Arabidopsis thaliana: one gene and its partners. The protein of the gene in region 1 interacts with the protein of each later gene in a pairwise test. Each region holds a gene or a part of one and is shown in the gene's direction. Other genes may lie near its edges. The genes, in order: HESO1, AT3G09250, SUA and AT1G09660.

Region 1 (5,632 bases):
TGTAAAAACAAGTGATGCAATGCATACGTAAGATTTGATAAATATATAGTTTAGAAGATGAAGTAAAGATAGTCGAGGCTAAGATAGCATCATGCAAAATATCATATGCTAAAATATGAAATAAGATTATAGTGTTTAAATTCATAGTGAAAATATGAATATATCAGAAATTCATATGAATTTACTTGTTTTAAAATAAAAATGATAACTATATCATAGTTTATTGTTCCCTCAAAGTTACTATAAAAACAACTCATCTAAAACTATATATTCACAATCACAAGCAATCGTTTTCTACACTAAGCTATAAAATGAAACACTTCACTTGTCTGATCATTATAATTTCTCATCCTCTTCATTATTTTCAGTTTTCTCAACCATTCTCTCATGTGGAACGAGCCATCATATCATCAATGGACAAAACCAAATTTTAATTTTAGGCTTCATTCGCTGCCGACGAAGCAATATGTACATGTTCTACATGCAAGACAAGAGAACAAAGATTACTGATATGATATTAAACTATTATTGATCCATATATAAGACATGTTGAAGAACCAAACGATTGATAATAATGTGGTGGAGCTACTCGCACAATGCTAAATGTTAACTGTATGTGACAAAATTAGCAAAAGTTTGCGTGCCAGGTTTGATTCTTAGTACACATACATGACTTTTAACATACTGAGGTTAGAAAATGAAGTACAGTAAAACCTTTATAAATTAATAATGTTGGGACTGCAAAATTTTATTAATTTAAAAAGGTTTTAATTTATCGATAAATTAATATTTTTTAATTATAGAGAAATTTTCCTAATTTGGTAACTTTTTAAAAAGTTTTATAAGATTTTTTTCATTATAGAAAATATCTTTCTAAAATCAATTACAAGTACAAAATTATATCATGTCTAGAAAACAATACCAAATTTTTTTTGATACAGTAACACATTAGAACTAAATTTCAAATAAGAATAACTACAAATTTAAGTAAAAAAAAATCAAAAACATTTCTTACATATAATGTATATATATAGTTGATACATTTATGCAATTATTAATTTATGATATTGATGAGACTATATATTTACATAGGACTTTCAAAAAAGTTATTATCTTATTAATTTATCGATGTGTTACACTTTTTACATTGGTCCTAACTTGGGATCTGGTGAATTTATTAATTTATAGAGGTTACTAATTTATCGAGTATTAATTTATGGAGGTTTAACTGTAAAAAGAGTTGAGGTTACCATTGCAATAAAATATGAGACAATGTGTAGAGGAGGATAAAAGATTGAACAAAAAGAAGAAAGCCAACTAGTTTTTGTCAAAAGGATAATTTTCCATGTGCATGCAAGTATGCAACCACATCAAAATCATAAATAAACATTGTCTAAAATGTTTCTAATAAAAATAGATGTAAAGAAAATTCATCAGTTTAATAACTAGGGTTTAAGAGATATTTACAAATACTAACCATTAACATCATATTTAATATGACTTTGTAAAATCTATGATCAAATAACATGCAATTTTTTTAATATGTAAAATAAATTATCTCAAAATATTTGATTGAATATATACCCTTTAATTTAGCATTGATTTTAAAAATCCAACAATTTTCTATAGTATATTTTGTAATAATGTTATTGGTTCCTAAAAAAGATGGTCACATCATTCATTAAATAAAATGAAATAAAGAAGTGTTTCCTTCGTCGCATTGAATAAAATAAAGTAAACCTTCCAAAGACTTTTCATTGTCTTCGCCTGCGAGCGCTAAAATTATCTCCGAGCATTCTCAAGTTGGGTGATTCGGTACGGATTACTGATTTGGGAGAGAAAAACCCTAGATTGGAATTAGATTCTGGGTTCTTGGGCTAAAGGTTTCTTCATCTCCTTCGAATCATCCTTTTGTAAGTCCAGTGGATGTGAAAACCCAGTACTCACTGATTCTTTTTATTAGGAATTTTGTAAGGTTTTGGGTAGAGTTTTCACAGTTTTGATGATACTAAAATGTGGGCCACTGGGTCTAGAGAATGAAGAATCTTGCTTTTAGTGACAAAGGTTGTTCCTTTGGAGTAGTAAGTGAGCAAGATATCAGAAAAACTGAACCTTTAATCTCAAGAATTTACTTTGATTGGAGCTTGTGAAGTCCTTGTGTTATTGTTGCATGATGTTTTCTTTGAGATAACTTGGCAATGTGTGTTTGGTGTTATTGTAGAGGGAGCAAGACGATGAGTAGAAACCCTTTCCTGGATCCTACTCTTCAAGAAATTCTTCAAGTGATTAAACCCACACGAGCAGATAGGGATACGAGGATCACAGTCATTGATCAGTTGCGTGACGTCTTACAATCCGTAGAATGTTTAAGAGGTGATGACTCTTGATGCACTTTTGTGCTTCTCCCATTTTTCTTACTGTCTAGTACTGCCTTGAACCATACCAGCCATGGATGTGATTATGATATTGGATATGAAAGTGAGATACTTCGAGCTTTCAGTAAGGTAATATCTGCTGGAATTGTAGCTGCAGAATAGTAGAAGTGGTTCATGTTACTCTTTCGCACTATTCTCGTTCTGGAAACAAATTATTTCATGTGATGCTTATAGCCGCTCGTTGTCTGGTTCTGTGATTGTTAGGTGCTACTGTTCAACCATTTGGATCCTTTGTGTCAAATCTCTTCACACGATGGGGAGACTTAGATATCTCTGTTGACTTATTCAGCGGTTCTTCCATCTTGTTCACTGGAAAGAAGCAGAAACAAACTTTACTCGGACATTTACTACGAGCACTGAGAGCGAGTGGTGATTCATTTAGCTTCTATTTTTTTCTTCTTTTTTTGGTTTTCTCTTTGCTTCACTGTTGTTTACCTTATATACTACTTAAGTAGTTTAAGTATTATTTCATGTGCCGATTTGTCTCACATCCATTATCATTCAAAAAACAGGTCTATGGTACAAACTGCAATTTGTTATTCATGCGCGAGTTCCTATTCTGAAAGTAGTGAGCGGCCACCAGAGAATTTCTTGTGACATTTCTATTGATAACCTGGATGGGCTTTTGAAGAGCAGGTTCTTGTTCTGGATCAGTGAAATAGATGGGAGATTCCGCGACCTGGTTTTGCTAGTAAGTTAACATGCAAATAAAACCATATTGTGTGTTTCCAAAGGTTTAATTGATTCTAAACGTATCTACCTCGTGTATTCTACATTTGTAGGTGAAGGAATGGGCGAAAGCTCATAATATCAACGACTCAAAGACCGGGACTTTCAACTCTTACTCTCTCAGTTTGTTAGTCATCTTCCATTTTCAGGTAAGATAGCTGTTCTGTATTCATAGATTTTGCTGCCTTCAGCCTTCTGCAGTTACTGCATCATTAGAAACCATAGTAAGATGTTCTATGTTGTTTGTTGCAGACTTGTGTGCCTGCAATCTTGCCGCCTCTAAGAGTGATATATCCGAAGAGTGCGGTTGATGATCTGACAGGTACGCTCAATGAAAAGGTTTTGAAGCCAAACCACACAAAATATATGTGTTTTTGGGGTAAAGGGACAAAAGTTTTAGCGGTATGGTGTCTTGTAGGTGTACGGAAAACTGCAGAGGAAAGCATAGCGCAAGTTACTGCTGCTAATATTGCGAGATTTAAATCAGAGAGAGCAAAATCAGTCAATCGAAGCTCGCTCTCGGAGCTGTTGGTCTCTTTTTTTGCAAAGGTGATTGATTTCTCATACATTCTAGCTTTAATTTTTTTCCCTTAATAATATCCACTAAAGTGCTCTTGATAGAAATTAGTATCTTGATTTTGCTGTGTGGCTGTATCTATCAGTTTTCAGACATAAACGTGAAGGCCCAAGAGTTCGGTGTTTGCCCGTTTACTGGAAGATGGGAAACTATAAGCAGCAACACTACATGGCTGCCAAAGACATACTCACTCTTTGTTAGTCTCTTTCTCTTTCTTTCTCTTAACCTCTTGTTGAGTTATATTCATCTCTATGGCACCATGTGAGTCTCCCGGCTAACATGTGGGAATGGTGTGTGTTTCAGGTTGAAGATCCTTTTGAGCAGCCGGTGAACGCTGCAAGGAGTGTGAGCCGTAGAAATTTGGACAGAATAGCTCAAGTATTTCAGATTACATCGCGCCGTCTTGTCTCAGAGTGTAACAGAAACTCCATCATAGGGATTCTGACAGGGCAACACATTCAAGAGTCTTTGTACAGAACAATAAGCCTCCCAAGTCAACATCATGCAAACGGTATGCACAATGTCCGTAATCTGCATGGTCAGGCTAGGCCACAGAACCAGCAAATGCAGCAAAATTGGTCACAGAGCTACAATACCCCGAATCCACCACATTGGCCACCACTAACACAATCCCGACCACAACAGAATTGGACTCAGAACAACCCCAGGAATCTTCAGGGGCAACCACCTGTCCAAGGCCAAACTTGGCCTGTAATCACACAAACTCAAACGCAGCAGAAGAGCCCATATAAGAGTGGGAACCGACCATTGAAAAATACATCTGCTGGTTCAAGTCAGAATCAGGGCCACATTGGTAAGCCATCTGGTCATATGAATGGTGTGAACTCTGCAAGACCTGCATATACGAATGGTGTGAACTCCGCAAGGCCTCCATCAAAAATTCCAAGCCAAGGCGGACAGATCTGGAGACCGAGACATGAGCAGTAGAATGAGGTGTGCAGACATGGTTCAGAGATACTCCTTCACATATTTTGGATGATTTTGTATTCTGACCTTGGGGCTTTTTTTCTATGGATCCATTCGTTACAATCAACAGATTTGCAATAGCAGAATGTTGTTACTAAAAAATGAGGACGAGGTAAACTTTTACTCAGTAAAACACCACAATCAAATTTACAGTTACATTAAGAGAAAAAAGAAGAAAACAATAAGAGATATACTACCAAACAAAATATATTGTGTTGACTAGTGCAGTAACTTGTGTGGTATTAAGCTCGAAGGAGACGCTTCTCGCATGTTAGAATCCTGTAACTTGCGTGAGGACCCTCGGATGTGTCACGCAGAGAAGTATGCCAACCCATGGCCTTTGTGATTTCTTGAATTTCATCCATAACATCAATTGAATCCCTAATGTATGCTCTTCCACCGGGTCTTAATATCCGGTCCATCTCTAACAATATGGTTGACATCTCACATCTGATAATATTCAGACAAGACAAATGGTTAAACTCAACTATAGGCACCACACGATCATAGATTAAAAATTTATAAATCACTTTGAACTTGAGTTACAGATAATGATGCTTACCTTTTTCTCTCGATCGAGAAGAGTCCAGAGGCATGTAAGAAGTCATATGTCCGTGGGTATGTATCAAATGGTTCACACCTGAGGTAGAATGCATCACTTATTAAAAAAATATCCAGAGCCAGAGACTAAATCTTAGTTTACCTTAAGACACATAAACAGATGAACTTTTGTGTTTAAAAAACATGAACAGAGAAAAGGACAAGATGAATCACTAATTTCCAAGGTTTCAACTATAGGATTCCAAATTCTGATTTCATATGACAGATTCTAAGGAGAAAACAGTACCAATCGTGCATCACTCCTAACAGTCCACGGTCATAAATGACAGGCAATGTGTTAGGC
Region 2 (3,997 bases), on another chromosome or scaffold:
CTCCAAGGCTGTTGCAGTATGTAACGCAACTCTCAACCTCATTTCCCACTTCATTGGTCTTTTCTCCCCTGAAAAACCATTTTAGAGTAAAAACAACTTAGACACAATAATGAAACTCTAAAGTAAAGTTTAAGGCCAAAAGAGATCAAGAACTTGAAATGTTTGAGTCTCACAGTGAAAGAGATGCTTAGCAAGTGTTTCATTAGGCATGTACTCAGCAACAAGCAACCTCTCGTGACCTTCTGAGCAACAACCGATCAAATTGGCCATATGCTCACTCCTACATCTCCCTACAGCTTGTGCTTCCTCCTGAATAACAAATATGCCATATTCAAGAAATTTTCCTCTGCAACAGATCAAGCATAGAACCGAATTGAATCTTTACTAAGTCAAACAGACTTGAAATTTGCCTCCTCTGCAACAAATCAGAATCCAGAACATTGCAACATTCAAGAGAAGTATCACGGAGTTAGTAACCAATAAAGTCAAATCAGATGAATAAGCGATCACTAGTCAAATCTTATACAAAACCAAACAGAGAAGAATCAATAAGTATTGATGGGTAAAGGACACGAACGATGAATTCTAAAGAATCAGGCCATGAAAGCCGTTGAAACCGCTTGACGGCGATCTTTCTTCCGTCGTTGAGCTGGCCTTTGTAGACGATGTTAGGAACCCTCTCGTTGTGCTCCGACACGATGTTGTCGGCGGAGAATCCGTCAGTTGCGACTCTCAACTGTTCCAAGCTGAACTCCAGGAAATTAGGACAAGTACTTCCTTCATCTTCTTCTTTATTATCTGCAGCCAAAACTATTAGGTTAGTTCTCTCGATCATCGTCTTCTTCAGAATCTAATTAACGCATAGGAGGAGTGGCTGGCGAATTCGTTGGATTTTACCTAGATCGTCGATGACGGTGATGGTGGATGTTATCGACGGAGAAGACGATCGACGCCAACGTTTGAAACAAATGCAGCCCATCGCCGGCGACAGTAGTTTCTCCGGTGGAGAAAAACTTTTCAAGTGCTTGGTTAAAAACTCCCGCCTGCAGGGAGAAAATAAATTATTATTTTTTTCTTTTTTGCCTAGCGAATATTGTTGGAAAGTTTTACGGAGAAAGTGGTAAAATAGACCCAAAAATATCATTTATTTATATATCACATAATTAAATAGTTGATGACCAATATATACTTTTTTTTTTTTTGAAAAGATCAACCTTTATACTATTATAAGGATAAAATGTCGACATGATCTATGTATTAATTTAAAGAAAATATTGTTTGCTTGTTCCATTTAAATTACTCGGTATTAGATTAATTTTGAGCATAAACATTACAGGTTTTTATTTTGGTAAATAATCATTAGACTGTTGAGTTTGGTCTTTACTTTAGCCTCAATTTTAAAGTCTATATTCAATGGATTTTGCTTACATACATTTCATTCACGTTTAAACCGAAATTAAAATATCTCATTTAAGTTGTAACCAAAAAAAAAAAAAACAGAAAAATTCTCATTAAAATTAATTTTTGCTAGTTACCGCAGCTTTTCGAGACTGGGTGTGTAATATCCATCACACTAACCTTTTTTTTTTTAATCCATCCATACGTTTAACTACATTTAAGCAAATATCGCTATCAAATCGTTTTGGTATATTTCGCTCATTACTGGCAAAATTCACTCTACAAAAAAAGTCTAGTTTGTAATGGGACGCTCGTTTTTAGGTGACTTATATAAAAATAAATAAATAGATTAAAAAACAAATAAAATCAGTATAGGCCTAAATAAAAGTTAGCTTACGGACCATTTATGATGAAACTTGGGCCCTAATGCAAAGCCCATTAATTTTATCTTTGGAGTCTGAAGTCTCTCCTCTCTGTGCTTTCACATAATCACATTGCATGATTGATCAAATACTCGATTTTCCGTGAAATCTCTTTGAATATTTCGATTCCTTGTTACCATGGCGCTTCATGGGTCTGGAGTTTTTTGTAAAGTAAGCTATAATTCTTCTCTTTGAGATTTACTTCCTTGATTCTTCAGCTCTAATCTATACTTAAATGTTTATCATACGTTTCTCGTAAGTAATCTCGAAATTTAGTCGATTTTCAATAAGAGCCCATTGATATTGGATGATTTATGGTTCATATACAGAGTTCTAATCTTGTCTGGTGTGAGAATTCTTACGGATTAGTAGGTATTGTACTAAGATTAAACCCTAGAAGAAATTCGATCAGAAAGTGTTTGAATTTCAACACTGAGATGTTCAATATCCGAATTTGTTGCTACTCCACTTGATGCAAATGGTTATGTGATTCTATTGTTGTGCTAATATGGCCTTGAATCGTTTGCTCCCTGATAGGTTTCAAACATGGTAGAGATCACTTCTCCGTTTGGTGGTTCCATGAGGCTGCTTCACTTGCCTAAATCTTATCCGATTCACTGCAACATGGTTTCAGCTAGCAATACATTTGGGTCAGCTCATCTCAAGCTGCAAAACAAAGAACCGTGTGAGTCTACTTGATTTTAGTTCGAGCATCTTATCTAGTAGAAGATCTGGTTTTGGATAAGACCGGTTTCTTTAGACTTGGTTCTGATTAGTGTTCTGGTAACATTTGAAGCAGGCTCCCGTTTAAGGCCTTGTCGAGTCAAACGCGAAGAAAATAACCAAACTGCGGATGTTGAAAGCATTTCAATGGATGAGAACACGTTGAAGCAAGATCTCGAGACTGCGGTCCAGGAAGAGAATTATGTGGAGGCAGCTAAAATCCGTGATAAACTAAAAGAGCTTCAAGAAGACAACAAAGCCTCTGTTTTATCAGCCAATTCTCGGTTCTACCAATCTTTCAGAAACGGGGATTTAGCTGCGATGCAATCACTATGGTCAAAATCAGGAAACCCGTGCTGTGTACATCCAGGGGCCAAAGGCATAACTGGTTATGATTACGTGATGGAAAGCTGGGAGCTTGTGTGGATGAACTATGAGTTTCCGTTACTGATTGAGCTGAAAGATGTCGAGGTTCATGTCCGAGGAGAAGTAGGTTATGTAACGTGTATGGAGTTTGTGAAGACGAAAGGGAGTAGTAGTTGGGGAGCTCAGTTTGTGTCGAATGTGTTTGAACGGATCGATGGACAATGGTTTATATGCATTCACCATGCTTCTCCTGTTGATATTTGATCAAAGAATCGAAGAAACGATACACATTTTCAAAACGTTTTATTTTTATATGCGTTTGGAGGTTGCGGTGGGATACATTGGTGGTTTGCTTAAGGGTGATGAAGGACTGTTTTTTATTTCTGAGGTTGGCGATTGGGAATGAAAACGCCACACAAACGAGAAGAGGCATAAGTTGTGACGTTTGTACTAGAAGAGGCACAAAGGATCATTTTATTATAACCAGAGCCTTGTAGATCTGGCAAATCATGTAGACAATGAAAAATGAGAAGAAAAATAAACTCTTTTTATTAGAACCAAGACCTCATGAATCTTGGTCACTCACAAAGTAAAACATAGGAAAAACACATTGAAACAGAAATAGCTTAAAGCTCATCCTTCTTGAGCGCGGATGGACGAACACCTTGACTGAGGAAATCCTTGTAATACTTGCCGGATTCTTTCTCGTAACGTGTGAGGTTATTTTTGAAATCAACGTAGTAGAGTCCAAATCTGTTTTTGTAACCATCTTGCCACTCGAAGTTATCCAACAATGACCATACAAAGTATCCTGTAACATTCACTTTGTCGATGCTGCAGATATTACACAAATGTTTTTATTAGATTCTTCACTACAATTGTTAGTATATCAGATGAAAAGGAAATAGGACATACCAAACAGCTTCTTGCATACTCAAAAGATGCCTCTGAAGATAATATTTCCTGTTATGATCAGCGGTACCAACAGCAACAGAATCTGAGGCCCCTAGTTCTTCTCCATATCCTAAAGAAGAACATCAACATCAATATATTTAGTTCTAAGATAAAATCAACCAAATAATAGTTGA
Region 3 (7,582 bases), on another chromosome or scaffold:
GAAGCTATGTCAGCGAGATTACTCAACTCGTGTCTCGGAATTTACGCGGCTTTGCCTTCACGGTGGATGCCTCAAACGCATAGCTTGAAAATGGTCTCTGCGTTTCAGGTCTTTAATGGGATAAGCCCTTTAGTGAAATTCTCACACTTTACAGCGAATCAGGCGATTCAAGAAGCATTTGAGAAAGAAGACAGTGTACACATCATTGACTTGGACATCATGCAGGGACTTCAATGGCCTGGTTTATTCCACATTCTTGCTTCTAGACCTGGAGGACCTCCACACGTGCGACTCACGGGACTTGGTACTTCCATGGAAGCTCTTCAGGCTACAGGGAAACGTCTTTCGGATTTCGCAGATAAGCTTGGCCTGCCTTTTGAGTTCTGCCCTTTAGCTGAGAAAGTTGGAAACTTGGACACTGAGAGACTCAATGTGAGGAAAAGGGAAGCTGTGGCTGTTCACTGGCTTCAACATTCTCTTTATGATGTCACTGGCTCTGATGCACACACTCTCTGGTTACTCCAAAGGTAAAATAAACATTACCTTTTAATCACTCTTTATCTATAAATTATTTTAAGATTATATAGGAAAGATATGTTCTAAAAAGTGGCTTTTTTGGTTAATGATTGGGGAATGAACAGATTAGCTCCTAAAGTTGTGACAGTAGTGGAACAAGATTTGAGCCACGCTGGTTCTTTCTTAGGAAGATTTGTAGAAGCAATACATTACTACTCTGCACTCTTTGACTCACTGGGAGCAAGCTACGGCGAAGAGAGTGAAGAGAGACATGTCGTGGAACAGCAGCTATTATCGAAAGAGATACGGAATGTATTAGCGGTTGGAGGACCATCGAGAAGCGGTGAAGTGAAGTTTGAGAGCTGGAGGGAGAAAATGCAACAATGTGGGTTTAAAGGTATATCTTTAGCTGGAAATGCAGCTACACAAGCGACTCTACTGTTGGGAATGTTTCCTTCGGATGGTTACACTTTGGTTGATGATAATGGTACACTTAAGCTTGGATGGAAAGATCTTTCGTTACTCACTGCTTCAGCTTGGACGCCTCGTTCTTAGTTTTCTTCTCCTTTTTCACAAACAATGTGCCCATAAATAGATTTACCTGTTTTTTTTTTGTTATGTATCAAAAAGAGAGGATTTTTTGAAGTCAAATTGTTCTCACTCACACTCTGTATTGGCTACCTGATTGGTGGAATACATAGAAGTTAATCATGAAGATTAGAACACTTGATATTGAAGAAAACACTTGAAAATGGTACATCAATAATAAAAATGATAACACGTTTAACTGAAAAATCATTTACAAATACACAATTCTTTTGAAGGCTACCATTTTTTTTTTTGGGAATTGTTATGTATTTTTTTTTTAGCAACTTGAATTGTTTTGGTTTACTTTTTTCCAAAAAAAAAATATATACATGTTGTTTTTTATTTTTGTTATGGCAAAGAAATTGAGATGTTTGGATTTTTCAATTAAAAAAAAAAAAACTCATCTACGCCTTTTCATATTTCGCTTGAACAACAACGAAACCCTAATCTGGTTAAAGTTGGATTCGGCCAAGTCCACCACCGTGGAGCTCTGAATTCATTTCTCTTGTAATTCATCGATCGCTGTTGAATATTTTCAATTTGAGTTCCCACGGTAGAAACCATTCCGATTTATACGGCTACTTCATCGCTCGAGCTCTCTCGTTTCTGTATCGATCGCAGCGTATCTGATTTGTCACCGGTTTCAGGCTTGTTTCTCTGACCTCTGGTTATCGGCTCCCTGATTTTGCGCTCTATCTATTAATCAATCTCTTATTCCAAGTCTTTGTTCCGCTGTTATCACAGCTCATCTTCATCTTCCATTCACTGGTGTCTTTGGTCCGGCGTCGTTGTGCTGCTTTCAGTTCATCACAGGTATTCTCATTTTTACCTGTTTCTTTTTTATTGAGGATTTCGTGGATGTGACCAGTTCAAGTTTTTTGTATGTTACTTTGTATAGCTTTTAAGACTCGATTACTGAGAATTTAGGCCTAATCGTCAGCTGAAAATATAATGATCTCTACTGTTGTATGCATTCTTCTCGTGCTTTTGTTACTTCATCGCCAATGCATGTTTTTCTACTCTGAGAGTGAGAGAATCTCTAGCTAGTTCCTACAAAGTCTCTTTGTGATCAGTGTTGGGAATTCTTAATTATATATGCATTAAGATATACCTGTCTCAGACTCTATACGTGATTTTCAGGAAAGAGCTTTAAATATTAAGCTTTGAATATTCTCTCAGACCATCAAAGATTTGCTTGGTGCACTGGCCGGAAATGGATCCTAGTCGATATGGTCGTCAGCAAGAATGGGATAATAACAGTGTAATTGTGGTTTTCTCCTTACATATATGGGATGATAAACAAGATATTTTTAGGGATGTTATGAATCTCAACTCATCCGTGGAGTGAGAGACTTGGGAGAGTGAGGATGTGGATGGGATTTGGCTAATGTAATATCCGTCAATGATGTTTGTTGCTGACATAGCTTATTCTCTTCAATTCACAGGCTCCGGAGGGTTATGGTACTCAGCATGATCCAAATCATCGGTGAGTGCTAGTAAAATGGATTACATTGATGTAGTTGTTAATTTGTTATTGCTCATGGGGGTATATTTATTTTAGCTACTGTAACTAAATTGTATTTCTTGTACTTTATTTGGTTTGGTTACTTGTGCCGAAATATTCATGATAGTTCATATTTCATTTTTTTAATATCTTTTCTGTACCTATACTACATTGCTCTTACAGGTTTGGCGTATCATATGATGACGGATATCCTGATGAAAGGTTGATGCGGGATGATGTCTACAACTATCCACCTGGACATAATACTCTGGGTGACTTGCCTCAATCTAGAAAGCGAAACTATGAAGAAAATTATCCCAGTGAACTTCGCAGGCAAGAAAAGCCTTACATCGATTCAAATTATGCTGCTGACTATTATCATGATAGTGAAGCTGGGAGTCGTAATGGACATTACCGTGATCATGAACACGAAAGGTCGTCCAGATATGATGGCTGCGATGACTATTCTTGTAATGATAACAACTATAGATCGAAAAATTACCATCATAGCAGAGATGATGGTCGTGAAAAAGATTATGATTATACTCGCCGAAGTTATGATTCTGAGTATGAAAGGGCCAGTGTGAGAGATGGCAGTCGAAAGAGCCGTGATCCGCAGGACAGAGAACGGAATTCTCGAGATAGAGAATGGGATTCACGTGATAGGGAGTGGGACAAAAGATGTTACAGCCGCGAAAGAGATGAGAGTCCTCATAAGAGATATGAGAAGTCACGATCTCGATCTACCGGACGTGGGGAGTTCTCTAGATCAAGATCTCCTAGAGGTCGGAGCCATGGGCGGAGTTACCGGGAGGACAGCTATGAGGGGGATCACTGGAATGAAAGTGAGAGGCGAAGAGAATATGAAGATAGACATAACCAGGATCATTTTTCTGCTGTATAAAATATTCTCTCATCCCTGGTCTATATTCTTTTGTTGCGAAGACATTTAAAAAATCCGTTCCTATATTTTTATGGTTTTTGCTAGACCCCATCCGCCACTGTTGTTGTGAAGGGTCTCTCTATGAAATCAACAGAAGAAGATCTATACCAGATTCTGGTAAACTCTTCATTTTTTTGAATCTGTATGTCCTCAGGTTTAAACAATTTTTCATGCATGACTTCATTATTCCCATGTGCATGCTAGGCTGAATGGGGTCCTTTGCATCATGTTCGTGTTATTCGGGAGCAAAATTCTGGGATTTCTCGTGGATTTGCTTTTATTGATTTCCCCACGGTGGTATTTGCTTTCAACTAATCTGTTAATTCCTTGCGCTTTTTCTTGTGATTTCTTCAACACTGTGTGCATTTATGTATTTTGTCTGAGCAGGATGCCGCACGCACCATGATGGATAGAATTGAGCATGATGGTATAGTTTTGGATGGAAGGAAACTTATGTTCCATTACAGGTCTTTTTTTAAATAAACATAAGACTTTGATTGATTTAGATATTACCTATGGAGGGATCATAGAATTACTACACATTTAAATTATTGTTTCTTGACCGTTTCAGTATCAGAGTATAACATTCTTACACTAAATTGCGTGTGTTGTAGCAGCCAACCTACTGGTAGGGCTGGTGTGTCCCGTAGGCAGGAACATGCTTCTAGACGCAGTTATGGTGGAAGTCGAAACATGATAGTTCCCACAGATTGGATCTGTACAATCTGTGGCTGTATCAATTTTGCGCGGCGAACCTCTTGCTTTCAGGTTGGTGCATTGTTTTGGATGAAAGTTCTGTAAATTTCATTGTCAGGACTAGAGTATAAACCCATCTGTTAAGAACAGAAATTACATATATTTAATTACCGGAAGAACTACTCATTGTTTGGTGATTCTAGAGTCTCAAACAAAGTGATAACTACTCATGATTTGGTGACGACAATACCTTAAAAAAAATAGAACCGATAAAACTTTCAGAATATATCTGTTTTTTGCTCCTTAGAGATTATTTGCAGTTCCTTTTGGTGACGAATATGTATCATCAATTGACACTTTGTTTGAGACTAGGGTGGCATACATATTTTGGTAGTAATGGTAAATGAACATTTTAATTTAATGTCGACACATTGATGTCCATACCTATGCTAGAATGTATTTGTTTGCATATACAATAGTTTGTTTGGAAATAGAGAAATTTCCATTTTTCAAATGTCAATAAAAAAAGAAGTCAACTAAAACCCTTTAACTGATCTTTTTTGATGGGTTTTTAATTTATCTTTCCTTCTATTTACTTAAACTCTGTGAAGTCTTTATCAATAGTTTAATCTTGTGGTGGACAATTGTATCTGTAGCCCTTCTTTGCCATGCCGCTGTCTGTGTCTTGATTTATGATAGAACACTCAAAAGTCCTAAGTTCAGTTATAATATGGAATAACAAATTTGTGGCCATTGCATAAATGTCTGTGATCTCTGTCTCCTTATGCAGTGTAATGAACCAAAGACCAAGGATTCTCCTTCAGCGGATGTAGGTTTATCAAACTCTGCAGCAGGAAAACGAATTTCTGAGACAGGTTCTGATCAGCATTTTTATTTAAGATGTTTTAAATTTCTTTCTTGAGTCAGAAACAGTCGCAACTGTTAAGGCCATAGTCTTTGTACTTTTCTACATGCCATATATACCTAAGATACATTCTGCTTATTTTCTTTTCCAGGTCCAACTCATGTCCTGGTTGTACGTGGGTTGGATGAAGATGCTGATGAGGAAATGCTTCGGTATGAATTTTCCAAACATGCTCCTATCAAGGTTAACAAAAACCCTTTTGGATTCGTTGTCTATTAAGATATTGTACTTTATATGTCAGTTGACCTGGTTTTCCTCTTTCCGCCATTTTGTAGGATCTTCGTCTTGTGAGAGACAAATTCACTCATGTTTCACGAGGATTTGCATTCGTGCATTTCTATTCGGTAGGGTCTCAAAGCCAAGTTGGTTGTTGAACTTACTCCTTAAACTCTCTCTTCTGCTTCGCTTTTCCCTTACTGATGATTTAAATTGCAAGTGTGCCTTTTGATCAAAGATTTATTCGATTGTGTAGAAATTAGAAACCCAGTCTAGATGATCAGTACCACCTGGTTTTTATTCTGCTTGTGAAGAGTGATTATGTTTTATAGTTTTTTTTTTTTATAAATGTTTAAGTGTCTCTTTAGTAATCATGATCTACTAGTTTTGTGGGTATTTTTGGCAATGTTTGGTGGTGAGCGCACTCAATCATTTATTTTGTCGTACTTTTTTATAATCTACATTCGACAACCACCTTTTGCATTGACTTGTAAAAGCTCTTGTAGTAGATTATTTATTTCGTCACTGATTCTCTTACCAATTTCATATCTGAACGGTGATCAGATTTTGTAGTAGAACTGCTTGATATGTCCAAATATCTATTTTCCCCCAGTTTATGTGTGTATTTGACTTTTTTTTAATCCACCTACCAACTTGAAACAGAAGATTATGATTATGTTCGTGTAGGTTGAGGATGCTACTAAGGCACTTGAAGCAACAAACAGAACAGCTCTTGAAAGGAATGGTAAAATTCTTAGAGTTGCGTATGCAAAGAGTGTTCATGGTTCTGGAACTGGTATATCAGCACCCTCGCACTCCAACAACCTCGCTGCTGCTGCAATTGAAGCAGCAACGTTTTCTCAACAGGTACTTGAAGATTGTTTTGATCCAGTTTCCCTCGTTTGTATTGGTGATCACACATTGATCATTTAATTAAATTTTCCAGTATCTTTAGATGAGGATTGTCATTCTTATGATTCTTCTACTCCATGTGCCCTGACACTCATGTTGGTCCTTATTAGTATGACGGTGTTGGATGGGCTCCAAAGGAATACAATACTGGTGAGAAACAAAACACTGGAGGGCAGGCCCAGGGTGTTGGGGAAATTGAATCCCAGAAAGGGACTTCTGCTCCACAGTCTGGCTATGTGTGGGATGAAGCATCTGGTTATTACTATGATGCGGCTTCTGGATACTACTACGATGGAAATTCAGGTCGGCATTTACTTATATTGTTATTTATTTCTTTGAATTGATTGTATGGTTGGGTAGCTGCAGCTCTAATTCCCATATCTGGCATTGCAAAACATGTAATGGGCAAAAGTAAGATTGATCCTGTTGGCTGGTTGTATAGTCCTGCTATAGATGTATTCTATTATAGGATAACTTCTTGGCAAAAATAAGTCGTCAGCTCTGGTTTGTTCAAACTATCCTGTTCTTTTTTATGATTGTGGAATTCTTATACTATGTATGCACCAAACTAGCAAACATCGAGATACAATCAATCAATCATACAAGTGTATGTCTTAATTAGACTTTTAAATAATGGCTGTAGGGATTCAGCAAGTGTTATATGATTACTATTATGGCTGCTGTTGGACTTCCAATGGAAGTTTTTTCTTTTAGTTATTGCTGAGTTATGCCTTCTTATATATGTGTATGTGCCTTAAAATTTCGCATCTGATATGGCACAATGATAGACTGTTTTAATGATCTTGGTTATCACTAGGCACCTCTTCTTGGTGTGTGGTGATGGGAAACTTGGTTTCACTGGTATAAGAAGTGGGTAATATTCTCTATTAATCGTATGTTTCTAAATATACAGGTCTCTATTATGACAGCAATAGTGGGCTTTGGTACTCGTATGACCAGCAAACACAACAATATGTTCCTTGTCCTGATCAGAACAATGAGAGTAAAGTAACAGAAAACCAACCAGACTCTGCCAAGAAGGAGAAATCCAGTCAACAAAAGGTTATTATCTCGGCGGCTACTACCCCTAATGTAGAAAAAGTTCTGTCCTTACCAGATGCGGTTCAGGCGGCTGCTGCAGCAGCAATTGCATCAGAGAAGAGAGAGAAAGAGAGAGTGAAAGAGATAAAACTTGCATCAAAGACTAGCCTACTCGCCAGCAAGAAAAAAATGAGTAACGTTTTAACAATGTGGAAGCAGCGGAGCCATGAAACCCAAATAC
Region 4 (5,793 bases), on another chromosome or scaffold:
GTTAGACTTTGTTCCACTCTTATACAATTTTGTTTGGACAGAAGACAAGTTTTGTAATGTAATATGGAACAATGGTTACTAAGATGTTTAGCAAGAGCTTAATTTATAGTATATGATATTGGGATTTGGGAGGGTTTAGGTACATTGTTAATGTTAGGTTTATCGATATTACTGGAGGGAAGGCGTCGTTAGGAACTTTGTCATTAACTTTCTTGAGTTAACATGCGTAAATGCAGTGGCGGACCCAGAATTTGATTATTCCAAAAATTGGACAGAGGAGGAAGAAAAGTCACAATCCCAAACAGTTAATACAAGATCGTAGAAAAGCGTTTTTGGCGCACGTGCGCGGAGAGAGAAAGCAGAAGCAGACCTCACTTTTCTTTTTTTCTTGGTTTTTTCTTGTCTCTGGATCCTCATTGTTGTTCTCACCACCACCTACTAGCTACTACCCACATTTTTCCCCAATGTCGAACTTCTATCCGTTTTCTTCTTTGGTTTTAGGTCTTTCTTTTTGGTAGTTGTACTACAACATGTATACTTTTAATTTGCAGCAAACATGAAACTTCTCCTTTGTCAGCACTCAGCCTTACGGAACAACATGTACCCCTAAACAAAACTCTACATGACCTAGGGGATTTGAAACATCCCAAGAAATGGATTTTTTTTTTTTTTTTTTTTTTTGGGCTGTGATTGTTAATGAAAACCTTTTTATGTATACATTTGATAAAGTAAATACTACATATATTCTAGTAGAATAATACCATTTACCTAATATACTGAAATTTCTTGGGATGTTTCAAATCCCCTAGGTCATGTAGAATTTTGTTTAGGGTTACATGTTGTTCCGTAAGGCTGAGTGCTGACAAAGGAGAAGTTTCATGTTGGCTGCAAATTAAAAGTATACATGTGTAGAACAGCTAACAAACAGAAAGCATAGAAAGAAGGGAACCCTAGGATAAAGAATTAAAAAGGGGAACAAAGATTTATGCTGTTTCTTCTTTATTTCTCATTGGCAAAACGGCAGAATCTTCATTAAGTTGCGTTTTATTATTTTTTCCATTTCTTATAGTAGCCAACTTCCAACTACACCATTTAACCCGGCCGTTTTTTTTTGTTGCTAAGTAATAGGTAAATATCCTATTAATGAAAATTATGATTTACATGAACAATAGCTAAGATTTAGGATACAAACAAGGAAGACGATCAAGGATCTTGAAGATAGAAGTAGGCGCAAATGTGTTGTGAATTATGCAGCATCTTATTTCTTTGCTTCCAAGTTGTATATAAATCACGGCTTGAGTAACTAGCTTCCTTAGTGTATATGTGACTGCATCTATCATATACAGTATGTGTGTAAACTGCGTTTGGTGTAAAATGTAATTATAATTTATAGAAAATAAATTAAAGTAGTGGAACATGGAAATCACCGTTCAGATATTCTAACTGATTCACTATAGACGGAATTCTTGTTTTCGTCCATTGTTTTTACTTTTTAGAATTTTTAAGTAAAATAAATCATCCATTACATCACTGAGGTGACATCATCGCTCAGGGGACATCACTAACTACGTTCCCACTAAAAATATAGGCAAATGCAATCAAGTGAATGATGATGACCTTTCAAGAGTTCGTAGAGATAAATAAAATAATAAATATTTGGCATGTTGAGGATCAAATGAATTAGATGCATAAGAAAGGTACTAGGTAGACCAGGCCCGGCCCAATGTGTTTTGTTGTCTAAAGCAAAACAAAAAAAATTAAGCCCATTAAAGAATAGTTATATTGCCTCGGAAGGGCTCGAATCCATCATCTTCATTTTTTTAGTTTACACGGATTGGAAGTAGGCTACAATGTCCCTGAGGGAAGGTAGGCCCATTATTAGTGACCTGAAGCCCAATAATAATGAAAACGCAAAGAACCTTTTAAGAAGAAGATGACAGAATCTCTAGAGAATAAAAAACTAAACACAAAAATAGAAAATATCGAAAATGAGATGAGAGAGAGAGGAGGAGTCTCTCATCGTGAGTAGGGCTTTTGACTCCCTCCCTACTTTGCCTACTTCTTCTTCTTCCTCTGTGGCCACTCTACACAGTCCACACCTACTTCAAGACACCTTTCTCATCCTTGAGATCGGCGTCAGATCCTCCGCCGCTTCTCCTCTTCACTATCTCCGGTCACAACTTGTTTTTCTCTGTTTTTCTTTATCTCTACTTTATGCACAATCTGACTTTCTAAGTGGATTTACAGTGTTAAAGATGATGGAATCTGGCGCTGGTTTCGTGGCCATGGAAGAGAGGATCTCTCCTGGAAGTTTCTTCCAGTATCCTCTTTCTGGATTCCGTGCTTCTCCTAATCGATCCCCTTGTCCTCCCTCTGATCGTGAAAGGTTTCTATTTTCTCTCTTCTTTCTCAACCTTTTTGCTATTTGTGAATCTGTGTTAGCTTGATTGTTGTGGACCCGTTTCTTCTTCTGGACTTGTTGCTTTAGCACAACTTCAAGTGTGTCTCTTTGTGATTGGTGGGTATTGTTGCCTTTGATTGGATCAGTGTTTAAAAATGATTCTGTCAAGTTTGTATTTTCATGAACTGCTTACACAGATCCAAATTCTCGATCATACTCTCTCACCTCAACATGTCGCCTTTTTCACAATTAGCTCACTTATTATTGGATTCTATACAATGTACTCTTAAGGATTTTAACAAGATAGCTATATTTTATCAATGTTTTAGAAATGAACGTACTGATGTATTTTTAGAAGCTTAGTTTACATGTGACTGAGTGCTGATTCCAATGTCACCCACTCGATTCACACGCAACATCCACTGAAACTTAAGTTTTTTTTGTTCTTAACCTTGTGCAGGTACTTGACTGAATTATTGCAAGAGAGACAAAAGTTGGGTCCCTTTTTGCAAGTTATGCCAAATTGCTGCAGACTGCTTAATCATGGTGAGCTATCTTATTAAGCTATGTGATTTTGAATTTAGTATTTCCTTAGAGTGTGTGCACACGAACTTAAGAAATTTCCCACGTGAACAAAGCCTTAGTGCGCATCACCCTGGCTTTTTTCCAGTTAAAGGTTTACAGAAATTGGGTAAGGATAGTTGAGTAACAAAAATGTATCTACATGCAACTTTTTATTCTCTTTGTTATGGCCTTCTTAATATATATATAGCCAATCAAAGTCTATGTTACTTTTAGCATTTAGAAACAGTTTTTAATTGCAACTTATTGCTAAATGATCATCCTTGATGAGTTATGTTATGTGAAAATGAATTAAGTCTATGTGTTTGCAAATGATAATGATCGTTAAGCAAATGATCACCAACTAATTTATACTAGGAAGCCTATTTGTCCGTAAATATGCATATGGTGATTAGAAGCTTGTTTCCAGACTTGTTTACCTAGCTTTTAGTTGTCCATCATGCCCTTAAGGGATGTGTGAACCTTAAAAGACAAAGATGTGTTTGAAGTTTTCATCATTCTAACCTATTAGAACCCGAGCCTTTTGTTTCATTATTGGCATTAAAGATAAGAGACTGAAGATGCCCCTGATGTATAACTCTTACAGTTTCTTTTATACGTTTGCTTAACTGCCAACATTGCTGACGTCTGTGCAGAAATCAGGAGGGTCTCTAGTTTTCCTGATCTTGATAGATATGAGCATGGCAGTCCATTTAGATCGCTTGGTCAGCCGACAAATGGAAAGCTTGATTTAGAGGGATGGTCGATGATGCAAGCCGAGGTAAGCCACTGCTGATAGTTGTAGTCAATTAACTGATTCATGTTGAATTGTAATGGTGATACTAATAATTTTTATAATCAAGAGTGGGCTTTACCGATATTGATTGCTTTTGCTTTCTTCAGGAAAACTGTCACCTCCAGAGAGCTTCTCCATTTCGCGGTCCTTCCCCAGTGGGCTGGATTGGGATGCCGGGACTCCCTAACCCACCCATTGTGAAAAAAGTGATTAGACTTGATGTCCCAGTGGATAAATATCCAAGCGTATGTCTTAAATCTTTACCCAAATAGGTTATTATAATTGGATTGTTCTAGAGTTTAAATCCATTGAGCGTTGCAGTATAATTTTGTTGGGAGGATTCTTGGGCCACGTGGAAACTCCCTAAAAAGAGTTGAGCTAGCAACCCACTGCAGGGTGTTTATCAGAGGACGAGGATCTGTGAAGGATACTGTCAAGGTATGGCTCCTTGTTTATTAATTCTCTGAAGGATTCCATTTTGTCTCTGTTTTATTCTTACAGTTCAAAACTTCACTTTATGTCATGTTTTTACCTGTTAATCAGTTTTATAACCATGTTTTGAATACGCACAATTTTCTTCCGGCCTTTAGGAGCAATTTGTTTTCCTTTTGTGTATAAGCTTACGTCTTTTAGCATATCAAGCTTATTGTTGAAGTAATGATACATTTTTTACTGCATCAGCAGCTACTACTCTTGTTTACATTTGAAGATATGTAAATTTTGGCAGCCTGTATAAGAAATAAACTGTTAAAGTTTTAGGTTCTTACATCATCAGAAGTAAATAGAGAAAGTTTTGAAATTCATTTTTTTCTGACTCTTATATATTCTCTGACAATCTACCATGCGGTGTGAAAGCTTATCCATTTAGTTCTTTACTTCCCTGCAGGAGGAAAAATTAAAAGGTAAGCCAGGGTACGAGCATCTCTGCGAGCCACTACATGTACTGATCGAGGCCGAGCTTCCAGAAGACATAATAAACTCTCGATTGGAGCATGCAGTGCATTTCCTGGAATCACTCCTGAAGCCGATGGTACATTCTTATCACAAAAGTCCAAACATGTCTATTTTGTTCACATGGTTTTGATTCTTCTCTCTCTACAGGACGAGTCAATGGATCACTACAAGAGGGAACAGCTGAAGGAGTTAGCGGCTTTGAATGGTACACTAAGGGAGGAGAGTCCGAGTCCGAGCTTGAGCCCTTGTTTGAGCCCCAGCATGTCCCCTTTCAACAGCAAGCGTGCTAAGACAGAGATATGATCAAGAGAAACCACTAGTGCATGGGTCTTGTGGGCAGGATCATGAGTTTGCTAAGTTCTAACGTTTGGACTCTTGAATTAATTTATTTTGTCATTAACTTTATTCTTTATTTTTGTTGGTTAGCTGAGATGACCATTAACCAGTGGGTAATAAACTAATAATGGTGTTTATGAAATTGTAATCTCCTTCTCAATCATTGTAACCTTTATTTAAGTTTTAAACCCCAAACGTTTATTTCATTTTAAGTTTTGAAATTTCTCCATTTGTCTATCTACCATTCATTATCAGTTTGTTTTGAGATTTAAGGTTCAGATTCAAATGTCGGAAACTATTAGACAACAAAGAGATTCACCATTGACCAGTGTGTAATAAACTAATAATGGTGCTTATGAAAATGTAATCTCCTTCTCAATTATTTATTGATTATGGCTCTGATTCTGATGCCATGTAAAAGGAGATTATTTCAATTGAATTACAGAACAAAGTCATTGGAAGCTTCAGATAGTTGTTTGAGTTATTTGATTGGTGGTTTCGGAGAGATTCGTTACCTTGTTTCAATTTCTTTAACATTTCTTCAGAATTTGAATAGATACATAGATTTAAGACTTTGTTTTCGGGGAGTTTATAGCAACAAGATCCTAGTTTGGGCTATCGTTGAGAAACCTATAAGGTGCCTTAAAGATTCTAGAGCATATTGTGGTCACTGAAAGTATGCAAGGAAAAACGACATCATCCGACTGTGTGAGATAAATTAGAAGCATAACAAGCGCATAAAAAA

What was found.
Region 2: the proteins of HESO1 (region 1) and AT3G09250 interact in a two-hybrid assay, tested with the Arabidopsis thaliana proteins (one large-scale study listed by BioGRID).
Region 3: the proteins of HESO1 (region 1) and SUA interact in a two-hybrid assay, tested with the Arabidopsis thaliana proteins (one large-scale study listed by BioGRID).
Region 4: the proteins of HESO1 (region 1) and AT1G09660 interact in a two-hybrid assay, tested with the Arabidopsis thaliana proteins (one large-scale study listed by BioGRID).

Annotation. Positions count from the first base shown.
Region 1 is NC_003071.7:16,574,016-16,579,647, forward strand, and holds HESO1 (Nucleotidyltransferase family protein), read left to right. Parts: upstream 1-1,736; 5' UTR 1,737-2,085; intron 2,086-2,221; 5' UTR 2,222-2,234; coding exon 2,235-2,373; intron 2,374-2,639; coding exon 2,640-2,804; intron 2,805-2,947; coding exon 2,948-3,126; intron 3,127-3,217; coding exon 3,218-3,313; intron 3,314-3,416; coding exon 3,417-3,486; intron 3,487-3,582; coding exon 3,583-3,713; intron 3,714-3,826; coding exon 3,827-3,937; intron 3,938-4,044; coding exon 4,045-4,689; 3' UTR 4,690-4,970; downstream 4,971-5,632. Other genes in the region: AT2G39750 (S-adenosyl-L-methionine-dependent methyltransferases superfamily protein), read right to left, coding at 4,971-5,178, 5,291-5,368, 5,576-5,632. UniProt on the Arabidopsis thaliana protein: Uridylates small RNAs to trigger their degradation. Catalyzes the uridylation of 5' fragments produced by AGO1-mediated cleavage of miRNA target RNAs. Acts synergistically with URT1 in unmethylated miRNA uridylation, leading to their degradation.
Region 2 is NC_003074.8:2,837,122-2,841,118, forward strand, and holds AT3G09250 (Nuclear transport factor 2 (NTF2) family protein), read left to right. Parts: upstream 1-1,878; 5' UTR 1,879-1,958; coding exon of another isoform or gene 1,959-1,991; intron 1,992-2,132; exon of another isoform or gene 2,133-2,357; coding exon of another isoform or gene 2,358-2,366; coding exon 2,367-2,505; intron 2,506-2,619; coding exon 2,620-3,133; coding exon of another isoform or gene 3,134-3,173; exon of another isoform or gene 3,174-3,234; coding exon 3,235-3,297; exon of another isoform or gene 3,298-3,439; coding exon 3,440-3,464; 3' UTR 3,465-3,493; downstream 3,494-3,997. Other genes in the region: BSK9 (kinase with tetratricopeptide repeat domain-containing protein), read right to left, coding at 1-68, 174-309, 578-798, 898-979; PYK10 (Glycosyl hydrolase superfamily protein), read right to left, coding at 3,536-3,743, 3,825-3,933.
Region 3 is NC_003074.8:20,071,555-20,079,136, forward strand, and holds the start of SUA (suppressor of abi3-5), read left to right. Parts: upstream 1-1,547; 5' UTR 1,548-1,751; exon of another isoform or gene 1,752-1,848; 5' UTR 1,849-1,917; intron 1,918-2,244; 5' UTR 2,245-2,317; coding exon 2,318-2,365; exon of another isoform or gene 2,366-2,549; coding exon 2,550-2,590; intron 2,591-2,791; coding exon 2,792-3,506; exon of another isoform or gene 3,507-3,596; coding exon 3,597-3,668; intron 3,669-3,755; coding exon 3,756-3,848; intron 3,849-3,938; coding exon 3,939-4,018; intron 4,019-4,165; coding exon 4,166-4,319; intron 4,320-5,037; coding exon 5,038-5,122; intron 5,123-5,263; coding exon 5,264-5,355; intron 5,356-5,447; coding exon 5,448-5,516; intron 5,517-6,075; coding exon 6,076-6,255; intron 6,256-6,410; coding exon 6,411-6,603; intron 6,604-7,213; coding exon 7,214-7,582. Other genes in the region: SCR (GRAS family transcription factor), read left to right, coding at 1-527, 642-1,071. UniProt on the Arabidopsis thaliana protein: Splicing factor that controls alternative splicing of the developmental regulator ABI3. Reduces splicing of a cryptic intron in ABI3, leading to a decreased in ABI3-beta transcript. Regulates the splicing of the receptor-like kinase SNC4/LRKL-2.6.
Region 4 is NC_003070.9:3,127,254-3,133,046, reverse strand, and holds AT1G09660 (RNA-binding KH domain-containing protein), read left to right. Parts: upstream 1-1,952; 5' UTR 1,953-2,173; exon of another isoform or gene 2,174-2,247; 5' UTR 2,248-2,255; coding exon 2,256-2,386; intron 2,387-2,861; coding exon 2,862-2,947; intron 2,948-3,618; coding exon 3,619-3,743; intron 3,744-3,865; coding exon 3,866-4,003; intron 4,004-4,079; coding exon 4,080-4,196; intron 4,197-4,644; coding exon 4,645-4,788; coding exon of another isoform or gene 4,789-4,842; exon of another isoform or gene 4,843-4,859; coding exon 4,860-5,015; 3' UTR 5,016-5,285; downstream 5,286-5,793.